Xenopus tropicalis: one gene and its partners. The main gene of each other region encodes a partner of the protein of the gene in region 4 in a complex. Links are inferred from orthologs where the notes say so. Each region holds a gene or a part of one and is shown on either strand. Other genes may lie near its edges.

Evidence for each region.
Region 1: ruvbl1 (region 4) and kat5 share a complex: the UniProt entries of both Homo sapiens proteins name them as parts of the SWR1-like complex. The link is inferred for Xenopus tropicalis from reciprocal best matches to the Homo sapiens genes RUVBL1 and KAT5.
Region 2: ruvbl1 (region 4) and meaf6 share a complex: the UniProt entries of both Homo sapiens proteins name them as parts of the nuA4 histone acetyltransferase complex. The link is inferred for Xenopus tropicalis from reciprocal best matches to the Homo sapiens genes RUVBL1 and MEAF6.
Region 3: ruvbl1 (region 4) and anp32e share a complex: the UniProt entries of both Homo sapiens proteins name them as parts of the SWR1-like complex. The link is inferred for Xenopus tropicalis from reciprocal best matches to the Homo sapiens genes RUVBL1 and ANP32E.
Region 5: ruvbl1 (region 4) and pfdn6 share a complex: the UniProt entries of both Homo sapiens proteins name them as parts of the PAQosome complex. The link is inferred for Xenopus tropicalis from reciprocal best matches to the Homo sapiens genes RUVBL1 and PFDN6.

What each region holds. Positions count from the first base shown.
Region 1 is NC_030680.2:37,912,955-37,916,454, reverse strand, and holds part of kat5 (histone acetyltransferase KAT5), read right to left. Parts: intron 629-3,500; coding exon 557-628; intron 402-556; coding exon 321-401; intron 3-320; coding exon 1-2. UniProt on the Homo sapiens protein: Catalytic subunit of the NuA4 histone acetyltransferase complex, a multiprotein complex involved in transcriptional activation of select genes principally by acetylation of nucleosomal histones H2A and H4.
Region 2 is NC_030678.2:86,132,697-86,136,196, forward strand, and holds part of meaf6 (chromatin modification-related protein MEAF6), read right to left. Parts: intron 2,271-3,500; coding exon 2,155-2,270; intron 1,663-2,154; coding exon 1,575-1,662; intron 734-1,574; coding exon 688-733; intron 294-687; coding exon 101-293; intron 1-100.
Region 3 is NC_030684.2:129,172,520-129,175,957, forward strand, and holds the end of anp32e (acidic leucine-rich nuclear phosphoprotein 32 family member E), read right to left. Parts: coding exon 3,383-3,438; intron 3,271-3,382; coding exon 3,185-3,270; 3' UTR 501-3,184; downstream 1-500. UniProt on the Homo sapiens protein: Histone chaperone that specifically mediates the genome-wide removal of histone H2A.Z/H2AZ1 from the nucleosome: removes H2A.Z/H2AZ1 from its normal sites of deposition, especially from enhancer and insulator regions.
Region 4 is NC_030680.2:134,985,309-134,988,808, reverse strand, and holds part of ruvbl1 (ruvB-like 1), read left to right. Parts: intron 1-2,346; coding exon 2,347-2,433; intron 2,434-2,955; coding exon 2,956-3,088; intron 3,089-3,500. UniProt on the Homo sapiens protein: Possesses single-stranded DNA-stimulated ATPase and ATP-dependent DNA helicase (3' to 5') activity; hexamerization is thought to be critical for ATP hydrolysis and adjacent subunits in the ring-like structure contribute to the ATPase activity.
Region 5 is NC_030684.2:72,109,385-72,111,685, reverse strand, and holds the end of pfdn6 (prefoldin subunit 6), read right to left. Parts: intron 1,044-2,301; coding exon 919-1,043; intron 844-918; coding exon 723-843; 3' UTR 501-722; downstream 1-500. UniProt on the Homo sapiens protein: Binds specifically to cytosolic chaperonin (c-CPN) and transfers target proteins to it. Binds to nascent polypeptide chain and promotes folding in an environment in which there are many competing pathways for nonnative proteins.

The DNA of each region.
Region 1 (3,500 bases), about 97 Mb from region 4:
TGCTGAATAAGCAAAGGAATAGAGCGTGTGAGGCTCATTTTGGGTTGTGTATAACATATGCTAATAGAAGTTTTACATGACTTTTGAGGCAATTTCACTTTAAACAGTAATTTTTCTAGAACAGTTAAAAATGTAAAGGACAAAATTCACTTATCAGCAATTGTATGCATATTTATGGAAACATTCAGTAGTACCATTTATATTTTTTAGCTTAATTCAGTTACGGGAGAAAAACACCTATAAAAACTTGATAATGCAACATTTTTACCCACTCAAAGGCAGCATTTTTTGGCAAAATAAGTCTGAATAAGCAGCTTTACCTGTGGAAAGACAGTGACCTGGGTTGTCTCTGGAGGTGGTGGGACTGGAGTTGCAGGAGATACAATGTCCACCTTCCGCTTCTGATGTTAGAGAAACACAAGACACAGTTATGGAAAAATCTAGTGAATTAACTGAACTTTAAAGAATAGAAAAATGAGTTGCAGATACCTATGGTCTGTATATGCATTTAACAGTGGTTTGGGAAGAGTGATAGAAATAGAGGAATGTGTTTTACCGGCACAGGAAGAGATTTTCCACCTGCTGCGGGGGGAACAACCGGAGGTGGGATCAACTCGGGAATCTTCCTCTGTGTAAGAAAGAAAAGGGGATTTTTGTACTTACAGTAAAATGATTTTCTCTGAGGACAAATGTGGAAACATATTAAGCAAGTATGTAAACTTACTCTACACAGAAACAGGCCACCAAGAGAAAAAAAAAACACCTCTATCCTGAGTTCTACCTTTACTGGAAAGCAGCCATCTTATAAAAAGCAACAAAGGGTGAATAAGCCAAGCTAGAATATTATACAAGATGCTGGTACTTGAGTCAGTGGTAGTAGGAAGATATTTATGAGTGCATAGGGACAGCCAGAATGGACAAGTCCCAATTAGTCACAGCTCTATTCATAAATAGAATCTCTAGGGTTTTGTAAAACTGGACCACAGACCAAGTGGCTGCTCTATACAGTTCCCAAAGCTCCCAGTGACCTGGTGAAATGGGCCCTAATTGAGAATAATGCATGGGAAAACATCTCAACCAGCAAAATCTGCCAAAAAAAAGAGGAATGAAGATACCAATGAGGACAGTTGTTAAACTCGAAACAGGGCTGCCACAAAATCATTCCCCCACATCAAGCCACTTCCCAACTTCTACACAAATGAATACCCTGTTGGTAACTTGATGGGCAAATTCACTTGCCAAAGAGGCTGTTTAAATGCAGGCCTGGAATTTGAATCTTTAACTGGACTAGTGCAATTTTAGCATAAAAGTAAATATCTAATCTAGAGCCCATCCTAGCAAAATTCAAATCCGTAACTCCTCATTGGAACAAACTACCGCTGATGCTATGGGGAAGAATAAACCTCTTTAAAATGCTGTACCTGCCCAAATTCCTATACCCACTGTTGAACTCGCCGGTGTATATAACTAACCAGTTCTTTAAAAACCTAAACAGTGAATTAATTTCTTTCATTTGGGCCAACAAAGCCCCAAGAATATCATGGCTCACACTCACTGCTTCAAAAGCAAAAGGGGGGCTTGCTCAACCCCACATACAAAATTACTACTTTGCAACCCAACTATCCTATATACATAACTGGTTTAATCCTGACCGCAGCAACTTATTAACTGCACTGCATGCGGCAATTATGGGCTCCCTAGAGGCCATACGCAACTTGCCATACAGACGACAGGCTGACCTTCCCCTTTTACCCGAGGTACTCACCACAAGCTAAGGTCTGTACCCCTCTTTCTCAGTTATCAGGCAAAGCGCCCCTATGGAGAAACTCAAACCTACCACATATGAGACACTTAGTCGATTTCCAATATTGGCCATCAGACACCTAGACGATCTACTGATTGAAAACTGTTTTGTATCAATAGAACAACTGAAAGTCAAACTTAACGGGCCAAATATTCAGTTTTTCCGTTATCTTCAACTGAGACATGCTTTTCATTCCCAGTTTGGGACCTACCAACTCGCACCCACACTACTGTCATGGGAAACTAGACTCTGGGCTTTAGACCCAACCAAACTAGTTTCCCAGCTGTATAGCATAATCCAGACCTCACACCCTGCTCCATTTGACAAGGCCAAACGCAAATGGCTGGCAAATGTTCCATCCCTGGATGAAGATCAATGGGACAAAACAACTGATAACTTATACAACTTCCTAATATCACTTATACACTTCCTAATATCACTCAGAGAATGATCCAGTTTAAGATGATTCACCAAATATACATTACCCCTCTGAAACTCAAGGCCATAGGGAAATTAGAAAAATCCAAATGTGTTAAATGTAATATGGCAGAAGTAGGTTTCCTCCACTTGATCTGGGATTGTCCCAAAGTATTAACGTACTGGACAGAAGTCACCCACTATATAGAGGAACACCTGTCTCTTCCTGGCATCAGGTCTCCCGAAGTATGTTTGTTAGGAATAATAGGTGAATTAGTACCCCTTCAAAAATCCAGAGCATTACTACGCTCCCTTGTGTTCTATGCAAAAAAGGTAGTAATAATGAAGTGGATGAGCCCCATTCCTCCACAATTCAACAATGGATAGAACTAATAAATGGGACACTACCGCTGATCAAACCGACATATAATGCCCGGGGCGCACCTGGGAAATTTGAGAAAATACAGTACACATTCTCTGACTTGATAAAAAAAATATCACTGTTATCAGCAAATAGGAGCCATGCTTAGTACTGCCTCTGCTTTAATGTCATTTGAATAAGCTGTAAACTACATCTGTTTTTGTGCTCTGACTTGTATCTCTCATGTCAGCATCTAGTAATGGGGTCTTTGTCATTAAGTTAACTTTTGAGGCCACTCAAAATGCAAATTAGAGATGTTAAAGTTGCAATGAGAGAACCTCCCATTCATTCTTGTCACTGCATATTTTTTTCTATCTTCTCCCCAAGTAACGTGTTTCTTATACGTCCTTGATGTTTTGTGGGGGTCCATGGCTGTAATGTCTGGTTTGACCTACACATATCATTACCTTCTCAAATGGTGCAAAGCTATATAGGTACTGTATCTATTTAAAGCAATCTCATATACTCTGAACCTCTTGCTAAATGAGATGATTTCACTTCATAACACAGACTCATTATGTCCCTGGAATCTACAGAATGTTTTAGCAGAAGAGGCAGTATGATATATAAACATACAAATAAGGATTTTTTTTCCAGACTATTGCTTTCCATTATGGAGTGTGAATAAAGGATTTTTTCCATTTTGACATATTACATCCTAGGACTTTCCCTAATTCCAGGAAATCTTACTTTGCAACTTATTAAAGGACAAGAGGAATTGCCTTACAGGAGAAGGAAAGGTAAAACTATGTAAATACAGCCATAAGCACTCAGAGAAACGCTGCACTGAGTCCTCTATCAAAATAAACACAGGATTTCTTGTCTCTTTTTTTTGTAAACATTTTCTTAGGGTATCTG
Region 2 (3,500 bases), on a different chromosome or scaffold from region 4:
GAAACAGTAAAACTTCTAAATCATTTTTATTAAAAAATAAAAATAGTGTCCTTAAATACAGTTTTAGCAAATTACAGTTCTAAGCAATTTTTCAGCCAACCTGTGCCTATTTTTATTCTTGCGTTTCTTGTGACTGCTGTGATGGCCACCAGAATTGGCTGAAGAAGCTGCTTTTTGAGGTTTAACACCAGACAGGGAACCATCTAAATCCTCTGTATCATCTTGGCTAGGCTCATTTTCTTGGTTCTGAAAATCTGGAGAGTTGTCGCTCTCTGTTCCGCTGCCTGGCTCCCCTAAAAAAAAAAACAGAGCAAGACCGCATAAGATGCAGTCAAAAAAATCCACGAAAATGAAAACACACAATTCTATAACTGCAGCTAATGCATACATGGTACAGATGGGCTACCTACCATTGCCAACATAAAATGTAATGATATACAAACCCTTTTTAAAGTCTTATGATACTGATAAATAACAGCTCAAAGATTACTTTAACATTTCAGAGCATGTTGGAGTATGATGTAAGTATAAGGAAGGTTTTGGCAAAAAGAAAGAATAGTGGAGATCCTGCGCAAGACAGTATCTGAAAGTAAATCAGCAATAAAAGATGCATGACACATTAAATTATGCTCTCATCTCACTTGAAGACAAATACAAAGCAAAAAAACATATAAACATTACACTCACGTTTCTCAATCAGCTGGTCTTGAACACCTGCCAATGCACTGACAGCCTAAAGTGTAAACACAAATATTTGTTATAGAGCAATAAGGCACTTTCTATAGCAGCTTAGAATATAATATGAGCAAGTTGAACAGAAGGACTCGTCTAACTGGAGATTCAACACCTGAATGTGGCATTCCAAATTAATTTAAGGCACTGGCGTACATATGCACCCCACAGATTTTTTATGTCATAATTGAATTATAATCTGGTCCACAAACTTACTGGTTACCACCTAATTGGTCCACTTTTTATTATAAGTTGGACAGCACAGTTCTACATAAATGACCTGTACAAGAACCCAGAGATCCAAAATGTTTTTCGATGTGGCTATGCCCTAAAAAAATCTGTACATAGACTGAAACTGTAATTACCAAAACAAGATTACCATGCAAATGAAAAGATGGTCATAATCAGGCCTTATAAGTTGGCCATTCTAAGGGCTATGGCACACGGAGTGTTTAGTCTAGTGATGCCATCCAGAAGAAAACAACAGTAAACAAAATACCATTGTCCATCTGCCTGTTAGTAATTAATGAAATGCGCCAAATTGTAAACCCATGCAGTGGTGGCAGTAAGACTGTGGTATGAAAACTGTGCTTTTCATTAAAGAAGAACTAAACCTCCCCTAGACAAAAGCCCCCCATCCACTGCCTTCCAATGAGCCCCATCCTTGCTCCCTCCCCTTTGAGTCTATTTCAATGAAAAGTGTCTCTGTAAAGCTGACCTACAGATGCAGAATACCACAGCGGAGCTAGCTAGTCATTTTAGGGATTATAAAATAAAAGGTTTACTTATTCTTTAATGTTCATTCATTACTAACCATGAAAGCTTTCTTAAATTGTACTTACAGCAGCTGATGTTACGGAAGATTTGCTAAAAAGTCGTTCTGCTTCTTTGAACTTTCTGTTCCTCCTATCATTCTTACTGTTTGAATTCCTGCAATAGAAAATTTTGTTTACTAGATTCACATATAAAAATATATTTGGCACTATTCTCCAGCAAGCCCTTTCTCATAGGTATCCATAGTGTATGATTATTGGCAACCATACTGTTCATATTCATAGACAAAATTTTATGAAATTACATGTATTGCCAGTTTCAGAAGGAACAAATAACATTCTAAACTACAGTGCACTTCAATGCATTCTTTTTCTAAATACTGTCAGGAGTTCATATTTTGCTTCATATTGCAGCATAAATTGTAATGCACATTAACTGGAAAAAAAAGCATATTAAAGCATTGACCATAAATCCCAGATCTTTAATAAAGTGAGTTATAGCAGTAAATGTAGTTGTGGTTGGGGGACTACTGTAGTCTGTTAAACAGTAAGTGAATCAGATTAAGTTGTATTAATCTTTTCATCAAATTTCTAAAGCAAAGGGCATATAGGGTTAAACAAAAACAGAAGCTTACTAATCCAAACTTACTTTTGATTTGTTAGGTAACGGTCCCAACCTCTGATAATGTTACCATACATCTGTGTGTCTTCCAAGTAACTCCCTTCAAAAGCATAGATCTGCCGTTCTAAATTTGCAAGTGTCTCCTATGGAGAGAGACAAATCACAACTTTTTAAAAATGCTAAATATTTATGGACACAATATTAGGACAGTTGGTATATACACAGATTAAAAAACATTTGCAGGTCTGTTACATGATTCATATTGTGACAGAAGTCAAAGATTTAGGGGGTTATGTAATAAAGTGCACTAAGTTTGCCCAAGAGAAGTAAACCATAGCAACCAATTAGCAGGTAGAATTTACTGGTCACCTGTTTAAAAGCACACTTCTAATCTTATTGGTTGCTATGGGTAACTGCTACATCTTTTATTGCATACGGGGTTAGACTTTCTCAAGTAGGCTAAAGGGACCGATATTACACTGTAATTGCTTCTAATGTATCACCTCAGATACTCAAGTAGTTTCAATGGCAACCACATGTATCAGCATAAAATGCCCACCCACTCAGTAATTGGGTAATAAGGATCCATACAGTTCTAATTTACTGAACAGAAGCGTAGCACATAACAGTTTTACATGGGTGGTGTGTTGATTTTAACATATGATTCGTAAATATTGGTACCATATAGTATACAATTACATGCTGATGCATTTGTGAGACTTAGAAGCAGAGTCAGTTGACTTGTGGCATATGGGGCAGGGATCCAAATGCCACCTTTACCACTGCATTAAAACCTTGGTAATTTCCACATAGAACATGCTGCCAACAAAATGGATAATGGTGCTTTTCAAATTCAGCTCACCCCAACAAAGTAAAAAGCAGTGTTTTCAATTGCTGTTGTCAAAAGTTGCTCTCAAGTGCGTGCTCTTGTCCCAGGAACATTTGCGCACCCACTGCAAACTATCAGCAGTGTGCACACAAACTTTCCTGGGACAAGAGTGGCTATAGAGAAAAACAGGGTCTGCTTTCTCTGTAGTTACGCTACTGAAAGTTACTATATTTGGATCATGGCACATGGAAACAATATTGCATGAAAAACAGTGTTGTATTCGTAATTATGTGAATAATCACAGTTTTTTTTTATATGATGGGGAAACATTCAGTTAAAAGCAAGTTGTGAAGTCACCAAGATAAAACACTGCATTAAGACCCATCCAGGATAGCTGTTGGGACATATGACTGCTGTCCATTGATGGGGTAACACTTTTACGGATCCTTAAATCAAAAAGTTTGCTTAGCCAAGTACATAATTAATTGGTTAGAAATTTGTTTGACATTCTTGCTTTCCAACAACATAGTTTGAAAAGTACTCC
Region 3 (3,438 bases), on a different chromosome or scaffold from region 4:
AAAACTGTTCCTCAGTGTTGCAACAATTTTATAGTTACTTTTTATTACTTAAAATTGATACAGGGCTAGACATGTTTCCCAGCTGCCCTCAGCCATATGACCTGTGCTCTGATAAACGTCTCTCTTTACTGCTGCGCTGCAAGTTGGGAGTGATCTCACCCCCCAGTAGCACAATAGGCAAGTAAGCAAACAGCAGCTCCCCAACACCTGCATTACTAAAAAATTTCCATTGCACCACCTAGTGGTAGATATAAGAATAGCACCCAATGGTAATACACCCAAGTCCAGCCAGTTACATGAATAGGGGAAACAATAGGTTACCTGAAAGCACTTGCATTGTAAAAGGCTGGCTATTGCAGTACAACGTGTGGTAATCGTTGTAATTATTTCCTCACCATTTGTGGTTTCAGATCCCCCTAAAAAAAGACAACTAGGGGTTAAACACAGGAATACGCCACACACAGGTCAGAACCACAAAATGACGGCTGCTCCACGCTATGTAACACTGTTATGGCTTTATTCAAAAACAAAGTCGCACATGTAGAGAATCAAAAAAAGTAACCGATCACACTATATACATACTGCCATAAAAGAGTATTTAAAATAGGACAAACCCCCTCTGCAAATATAAAAACCCGCCCTTATATATTTTCACCAAACGAAAAAAATAAAATAAAATATATATATATTTGAAAGGCCGGTGTTATGATAAGATAGAAAGTTTTGTTTCCAAGATGCATAAAGTGGCTTGCATGATACAAGGGAGAGGGTTTTTGGTATAGGAATAAATATATCACACCAGGCCCTGGTCGTATGTAAGGAGCATGTGGTAGCCATGCATCTATGTGATGAAGTCAGACTTACATGCCTCTATGTCTTTAATATACAACAGCATAGGGATGCCGCTATGGGCACAGATGGGAACAAAGAAAAAACTTATATATGTTTAAAATCATGGAAACCAAGAAACTATTTCCCTTGTCCAATAACTCCAAACCCCCAGGATTCATTACTCCCTACAGATCAGGAATTAAAGAGAATTAAGTTTGCCAGTACAATCTAATGACACTGTTAACATTTATTAACAAGCAATTATGGTCTTTTAAAAGGGAAACGGGCATCTAAGGGATTCATTATTACTCTCCAATGTTTACAAATTGTTTCAGGGAATATGTGCTGATATACGGGTCATATGAGGTGCTGCTTTCCAGGTTATTGAGCACGTTAACTAATCAACACTTTGCCATTAAATACAAGAACCATGAATGTAACAAACTGTATAGTTGGTGATGTCTTGTGGCGTTAGATCGGACATCCTTGCTTGGTCTGCCAAGAGTGTAGGGATCCAGAAAACCAGATGAAAACAGGCAGGGATGTGCATTTCTCTGTATTGTAAAATGGCCAATAGTAACCCCCCTCCTTAAAAGAATATGTAATAATGAAACATTATGGTACTGAAATCTGAATTTCTGTAGCAACAAGTGTTTTCATATAAAAAAAAAACAAAAAAACGAGGCAGCTTATGACTGTGGTTCCAACCCTATGGGTTTGGCCTTCAAAAATGTTTCTTAAAGAAAGAGTAACACCAAAACATGAAAGTGTTTTAAGGTAATTAAAATACAATTTACTGTTACCCTGCACTGGTACAGCTACTATAGTTTATATAAATAAGATAGTGTAGCCCCGGGGGCAGCTATTCAAGCTGGAATAAAAAGAAAAGGCTCACGCTACATAGCAGATAACAGATAAGACACCATTGTATTCTACGGAGTTTATGTTAGCCGTTATATAACCTGTGCCTTTCCTCCTTTTAAATAGCTGCCCTCCGGGGCTACACAATATTTATATAAATTATAGTAGTGTTTCTGAAGCAAACACACCAGTGAATGCAAAAGTACATTATAATTTAATTACTTTAATATATTTTAATTTTTTGGTGTTACTGTTCTTTTAAAGTAAAAGGGGGGCGGTGCTAATTTACTAGGCTCCACCCTGTGACCAGAAGATGCTCCTACCTTGAGTGGAACATTAGGATTGCCGATGCAAGCAGTGAAACTGCCATCTGAGGTGTCATGTGGAACAAGAAACCCATGTCAAAGCCACAAGGAAGGGTTTTTACACTTCATTTTATCTACAGAAAAGAGATCACTCAGTGATACTACTGGATTTCAGCAAGTCCCATTTAATCACTTTAAACACAAAACTGAACCTTAGCTGTTACCAGCAATTTCCCAAGGACAGGGAAATGGTAAGTGGCCGACCCTAGTGTAATATTAAGCAAACAGATTCTGCAGGGCGAAGACACACGGAGCTACTTAGTGGCAGCTACTTTTCACGGCTACTAAATGCCAGCAAATACCCTGCCATAGACAATACCGAGAATCGCCTCTGCCCAAACACACGTAGAGACAATGATCAGTAAATGATCAGCATTGTCTATTTTAGTAGCCGTGACAAGTAGCTGCTACTAGTAGCTCTGTGTGTCTTCACCCTAAAACAGCAGCTTTGTCAATGTCAAAACCAACCACCTTCAAGAAGGGTTGTTTACCTTTAAATTAACTTTTAGTATGATGTGATGTGGCCCTCACCTATTCAGCTTTCAGTCTGCCTGGTTACTAAGGTAAGTGGGAACCAGCAACCAGAGTTTTAACTGCAACTGCAGAACAAAAGGCAAAGTTGCAAAAACTACAAAGAATGAAAACAAAGAATTGCTGTTAGAATCTCATTGCTTACGTGATACTAAAAGTTAACGGTGAACATCTTTAAAGGTGAGGCAGAAACCACGACTGCCGTTTGACAATGCCATAAAGCATTCTTGGTTTGCTTTACAAGTCCTATTAGAACTATGGAGCAGAGAAACAATTTCATGTCTGGGCTAATGGCTCCCCACCCTAAACCCACCCCCATAAAAGGACCCTAAAACGTGGTTAAGCCCTCTGGAACACAAGATATTACAATGGGGTCAGAAAGGGAAACTAAATGTACTAACAGGATCTTACATCTTACTTGGAATGATAAAAAGGGCACACAAATTGTAAAATCACACTTTGCCTATAAAAAGTTACCAAGTTAAATTCTGTAGGGATATCTATTGTACATGTAGAGACATACAGATCTGCATTATTCTAGCATTAACCCAAGGGCTCAGAAAAGAGACTGGTCCTAGCCTCCAGAAACAATGGCTTCAATCTTCATCCTCATCTCCGTCATCTTCTGGGTCCCGTTTCCTCTTCTCTCCCCGATCAGCTGCTGCTGCTGCTTCATCCTCTTCTAGAAACAAATAAAATTATTATGTCAGACCTGTATAGTGGGATATAGGGGGCAAACAAATCAGAATTACAGCTTTTTTTGCAGATATACAATAGTATCACCAAGAACATACCATCTTCCTCCTCCTCTTCCTCCCCTTCGGCACCATCTTCAACGTAATCGTCATCA
Region 4 (3,500 bases):
GTTACTAGTCCACTGCCTGTCACAGTAAAAGAAAGCGGGCATCTAAATATTCGTCATGACCATACCCCTGATCTGCCCAACGACACCCTGTTACATCCAGAAAATACAAAGCACCCTTTGTGGTACATAAACTGGAATTTTGTATGTAGCGTCTCCAGTCCCCACCCTCCAAAATGGTGGCACTTTCTTGTGCACAGGCTCCTGCACTGTGATCACTGCCAGGGAACTTGGGCACAGAACATTGCCACCAACCCTGCTGCCATGCTTTGCGTTTCATGAAGGTGTTGAAAGCACTACCTCATCACACAGAGCAAAGGGTTTCTTGAACATAAGTCATAACCTTGAACATGTTTATACATATTTGTCTAATGGGAATATTAACAGGTGACTATTTCCTCTTGCTTTGCTATCTCTTGCTTCTGTGCAAGTGTCACATACTTTGCTAATTTATTTTGACTGTCGGGCCACACATTCCCTTCTACCTTCCATAGCTCTCCTCTTGTACCCTGTCCACCAAACCAACAAGTGACATTAGCTTTATTATTCTCATTAGTCAGTGTTGCACAGAGTGAAGTCCCCCTTTGCATAAGGATAAAGTCTTTGTTTCCATTACAAGTGATTTTTGGCTTTTAGAAGAAAATTGATGTTTTTTCTTCCCTCAGCGCCAGTTTTGTGGCATGGTTTTGATTCGATGTGCTTTTTGAGCGAGATACTGTATTTCAAACACAAGCAGTGAAGCAGTACTTAATTTGGAGTCTGTTCTGACAAGTTCCTGCTGAGAACATTTGGGATTTAGTGGGCTATATGGAGAGATGATCTGATAGCAACAGAAATTCTCAGTGAACCAGGAATTTGGATTGTTAGGGTGGGATGGTGGAGCCAAAATTATAAGGGTGCAGTATGGATCTTCCATAAGCACAGTCAGACCAGGCTTGTTTGTTGTGAATATTTAGTGATAAGTAAAGTTGTGTCCCTTTTGCACTTACAGTGTGACTGTCTGGGTCCTTAAGGTTGCCATACACATAGCAATTTCGATCTTTTGTTCGACCATCGTTCCCACCCTCCACTGAAGTTCAGGGCTGAATCGTCCGATATGGAGGTAGAAACAATAGAAATTCTACCTCCTGCCGATTCAGCCCTGAATGTAGATTTTGCTAAAAAATCTTTTAACCTGGCCGATCGATGAGTTGAGCGATATCCGCAGCCTTTTGTGATATCGGCCGCCTCGTTGAGCCGCCATACACGCACCTTATATTGTAAGAAGCGAGGTTTCCTACGATATCACCGGTTCATGTATGGCCGGCTTTAGTGCGTCCTGAACTGAGGTAAGTCACAGGAGTTCTTTCTAGGGTCATCATTAAGAACTAATCAAAATACACAGGGGGTACTAATTTGTTAGGCACCACAGTGAATATAATCCCTAAACTTGGATCCTGACCCCCTATGTTCAAGCATTTCCCAGGAATCCTTTGCTGCTGTCAAGGAATATTCTTATGCTCAGTATAGTAATATTGGTAGTCATGTGAGGAATGCTGACCTGGGTTCTAGGGTAGGAATTATGTTTCCTGCAGCGGGTCGGGTACCCACAGAACACCCGCATATATGTCAGGAATGGGGGGAGGCAAAATCCTAGATGTCTTGACTGTGCGGGTGGTCCACAGGTACACAGTGGAGGTAATTGGGGAGGTTTCAGGCAGCTTTAAAAACACAAAAAGACCTGAGTTTACCAGCAAACTTGCCAGTTTCTGACCTAACTTCTGGTTCTCAAGTCAGCCCCGCCACAAAATAATGACGTTACTTCCGTTTTGCCAAGAAGTTGTTTGCGGTTCGGGAAGGCACTTCTTCGAATTTGTTCGGGTATGGAAAGACATCATAGTCAATACAGGTGTGTGGGTCCAGGTCTAACTGAAGATACACCAAAATATACCAAAACAGACCCATGCAGGACTCTTCCCTGGAGGATGGGATGGCTAAAGTTAAAGTGTTGCTGCTTAAGTTATTTTCTAATGGGCAGACTAACTGTAATAAATAGATAAATGGGCCTGCTGGATATACATTGTGCCCATTTGGGCCATTCAGTTTTCTTTGGATCAGCTGGTCCTTTAGGGCAGTGACATACCGGCCAGTCGTGTTTTTAGGTGTACATGCATGTCTATGGTGCAGGCAGGAGTGACTGCTGGAGACTTCACATTCACTTTCAGGCTTGCAGCCATTATTCACAACAGTACCCCAATTGTTGGATTGGATTGTACCTCTTCATGGTGGGCAGAGGTGCCTGACCTGGGCTATGTGACTGCACTACTACAATCTGTCAGAGCTGTTTAATATGTTTCTCTTAAATTACAGGCATGTGGGGTAATAGTGGAGCTAATTAAAAGCAAGAAAATGGCTGGGAGAGCGGTGCTGCTGGCGGGACCTCCTGGAACTGGCAAGGTACCTTATTTTTCTGCATGTTTCTTTCACCTGGATCCTATTTAACCATGGAAAATGCAAAGCATCAGGGTGTATATGTCTCCTATGCCAAACTATGTTTTGACTGCTGGCATTGCCCCCTTGTGTTGAAATGTTCATAGTTCCACTTTAAACCTGTGAATCACATACATAAACATTATACAAGGATAAGCTTGTTATACAGTGGGATTATGCATAATACATTACTGCAGCCTTTTAAAAAAAAAAATAATAATTTATATTGGAAACAGTAAAAGAAAAAAAATCTTTCATTAGATCAACAGTAATACCAGAGATTTCATTTGTAGAGCCTTTAACCTTGTGAATCAGAAAAGAAGATGGGGAACTACTGGGGGCATTTCTAGAGGCAAAAGGGCTATAGTCTCCTCCAGCTGGTGCTATAAGGGCAGTCTCGCGTGCACCGCCCTTTTGCACCTTTGGTCAGGCCCACGTGGCTTCCTTACTCTGCTCTCTTTCATTTTTATATTCCTTGTCTCCTTACAGACTGCTTTGGCTTTAGCCATTGCCCAGGAACTAGGCAATAAAGTTCCATTTTGCCCCATGGTTGGCAGTGAAGTTTATTCCACAGAGATCAAGAAAACGGAGGTCCTGATGGAGAATTTCCGGAGAGCCATCGGTAAGTGGTTGGTGGGCAGCTTGCTATGTCTGACTTTAAATGGTAAAATATACACAAGGTGTTGGAATTTTCCATTCTTAAGCATCTTAATGAAAGAGCTGAACTTTTGAAGCCAAAAACTCAAAGTAAATGCTAATCAGCCATTTCACATGTAATATAGGAGGTTACAAAGAGCATAAATAGAACATTTTTATAAAGCAAATGTGTCATTCTTCCTGCATAATATTTACCATAGTAAAAAAAATCTATTCTACCCTGCCCCAATAATTGCCCTATCCTGCACACCATTTATTATTTTGAATGCTTTATTAGAAAATACCTGCTAAAACTTGGCTTCCGGTCATTTTAAATAGGGCGATACGGCAATGCAGGGGAAGAACCCACTATGCGATGATCGACTGATCGATCCTAG
Region 5 (2,301 bases), on a different chromosome or scaffold from region 4:
ATGGGTCCATTAATAGATCTGGAGACACAAATGTATTTTAGTCATGTAATTTCTCTAATATGTAGTAATTGGGCTGAAAATATTAGTCTTCCTTAAAGAGGTTCAACACTTTTTGGCATAATAAAAGAAGATGTAACTCTAAGCAACTTTTTTTATACAGTTATTCAATGGTGTTCAATAACAAAAGCCAAAAGATTAACAGACCTGCAGAAAAACACTACTTTTAAAAGCAATGTAATTTACAAATAACCATTGAACCACTCAATTGTTTAGTGCATAATGGAATGTTGCTTAGAATTATTAATCTCTTATACAAACAAACAAAACCTATTTTGGGTGGAGGCCCCTTGGTATCTAATTTCACTTCTTACATTTCTATTGGTACTTATTGTTCATAGGTCAGGAGTTGTTCCATTTGTTCAGAAACTATATGTATGGTTTGTGTATTTCTTACGTGCAATGTTCTGCTATTCTCCCAGGAAAGATAAGATTAAGTCCTCTCGGAGTCAAAGCATTTTTATTACCCAACACAATTCAAGACATAGTATTTCCACAATGAAGCTCTTACTGTCCAAGAAGTGGCATCAGTGTGCACAAGAGGCAGGAGGTGCCAAAAGTATTCCAGGAAAATAAATGGTGGGCAAAGTTTTGGTTACACAGTCCTGGAGCATTAATGACCAATGAAAACCAGGTCTAGGGTTATAGATTATTCTGAATGCCCCTCAGGCCTTCACTGGCCCCTTTCCTTGTGTCCTCTGGTAATCTTGTTGAAGCTTAGTAAGGGATGCCCTATGTTGCTCTGAACGCTGCTCCATATCCTTAAGTGTGGTCTCATATCTTTTGCTGAGAAACAAACATTCAAACATTATACAAACCAGTTATTAATCTCAATACAGACTAAAGAAAAACACTACTCACATTTCTCCATTAATGTACTGAAGTCTTTTATCCACAGTAGACTTTGCCTCTTCCAGGTCCTGTTTTACCAGCACTGGACCAATCAGCTTATATACAGTGTTACTGTCATCCAGAAAAGCCAGCTCCTACAGAGATATATAGAAACACACATACACATTTCATTCTTAAGAATCACACTATATTGTTATTTTTTATATTTACCCGACATTCTATATATTGCCAAATATGATTACTGTTAATGTCTGAAATCTTCTTTTCTGTTCCTGTTTATTTTGAAAATACATTTAAAAAAAAAAAAAGTTTCCAGGACCATTTTAGAAATGATTATGTATTTGCCTAATGGAAATATTAGGAAGAAAATGTCTTTGCCCTCTCTTTCTGCAGCTTATATAAAATGGGTTATTGTCTTAAGATTGCAGTTTTACCTTTGAATACAAACCCTATTATTTCCCACAGTGCCACTATTCCAGCAGACAAAGGACGCAATTTGTCATAATTGAGATAACAAAATCATAAGGTTGGATTAAAAAAAACTATTTTTATATATTTATAAAATTTTTGACCATGTGCAAAGCATACAGTCCTCTTTAACCCCCTCCGTGGCCTAATTTGCATATGTAAATTAGGATTCAGTTTGGTATTTGCCCAAATCTTTTCAATGGATTTGGGGTTTGGCCGGATACCAAAATAGTGGATTTGCTTCATCCCTAGTATAAAGTAGAGGAACTTAGATCTGAGATGTTAGAGCTGAGGTCTTTTTTACTTAACCTTCACCTAGAGCTGGGCGGTATGACCAAAAATTTATATTACAGTATTTTTCAAAATTATATCGGTGTCACGGTATTTGACGGTATTTTTTTTTTCCATGCATGATTAGGTGTTAACCCCATTTCCTAATAAATTAGAAAATAATTACTGCAGTATTGAAAATCAGTCAAGCGAAGGATCGGCAACAGAAAGTCGTAAGGTAAATCAGGCAGGCTTAGTTTCCCAGGCAAGGCCGCAGACAACATAGCACAGGAGGAGGCGTTTGATAGCTTTAAATACCCCCCACGCATGCACAGAACCGGCGCCGTCAGCGCATCACGGACGTGCACGCTTTGACATGTACGTGCGCTTTGACGCACGCGCACCTGGATGCGCGTGCGCAACGTCCCGCGGACAACAGGACGCACGCGAGACCGGGCCGCACGGGTGAGTACCCTGACACCCCGGTATTGCGGTATCTGAAAAATGAATATAGTTTTAAAAAAAACCACCGGTATTCGGTATTAAGCGGTATATCGCCCAGCCCTACCTTCACCAACTCTTTAATACAGTGCAATTGTAAACATGTGTAGTGTGATACAACAACAATTCAGTTTGAGAATTTGTCTGACATGG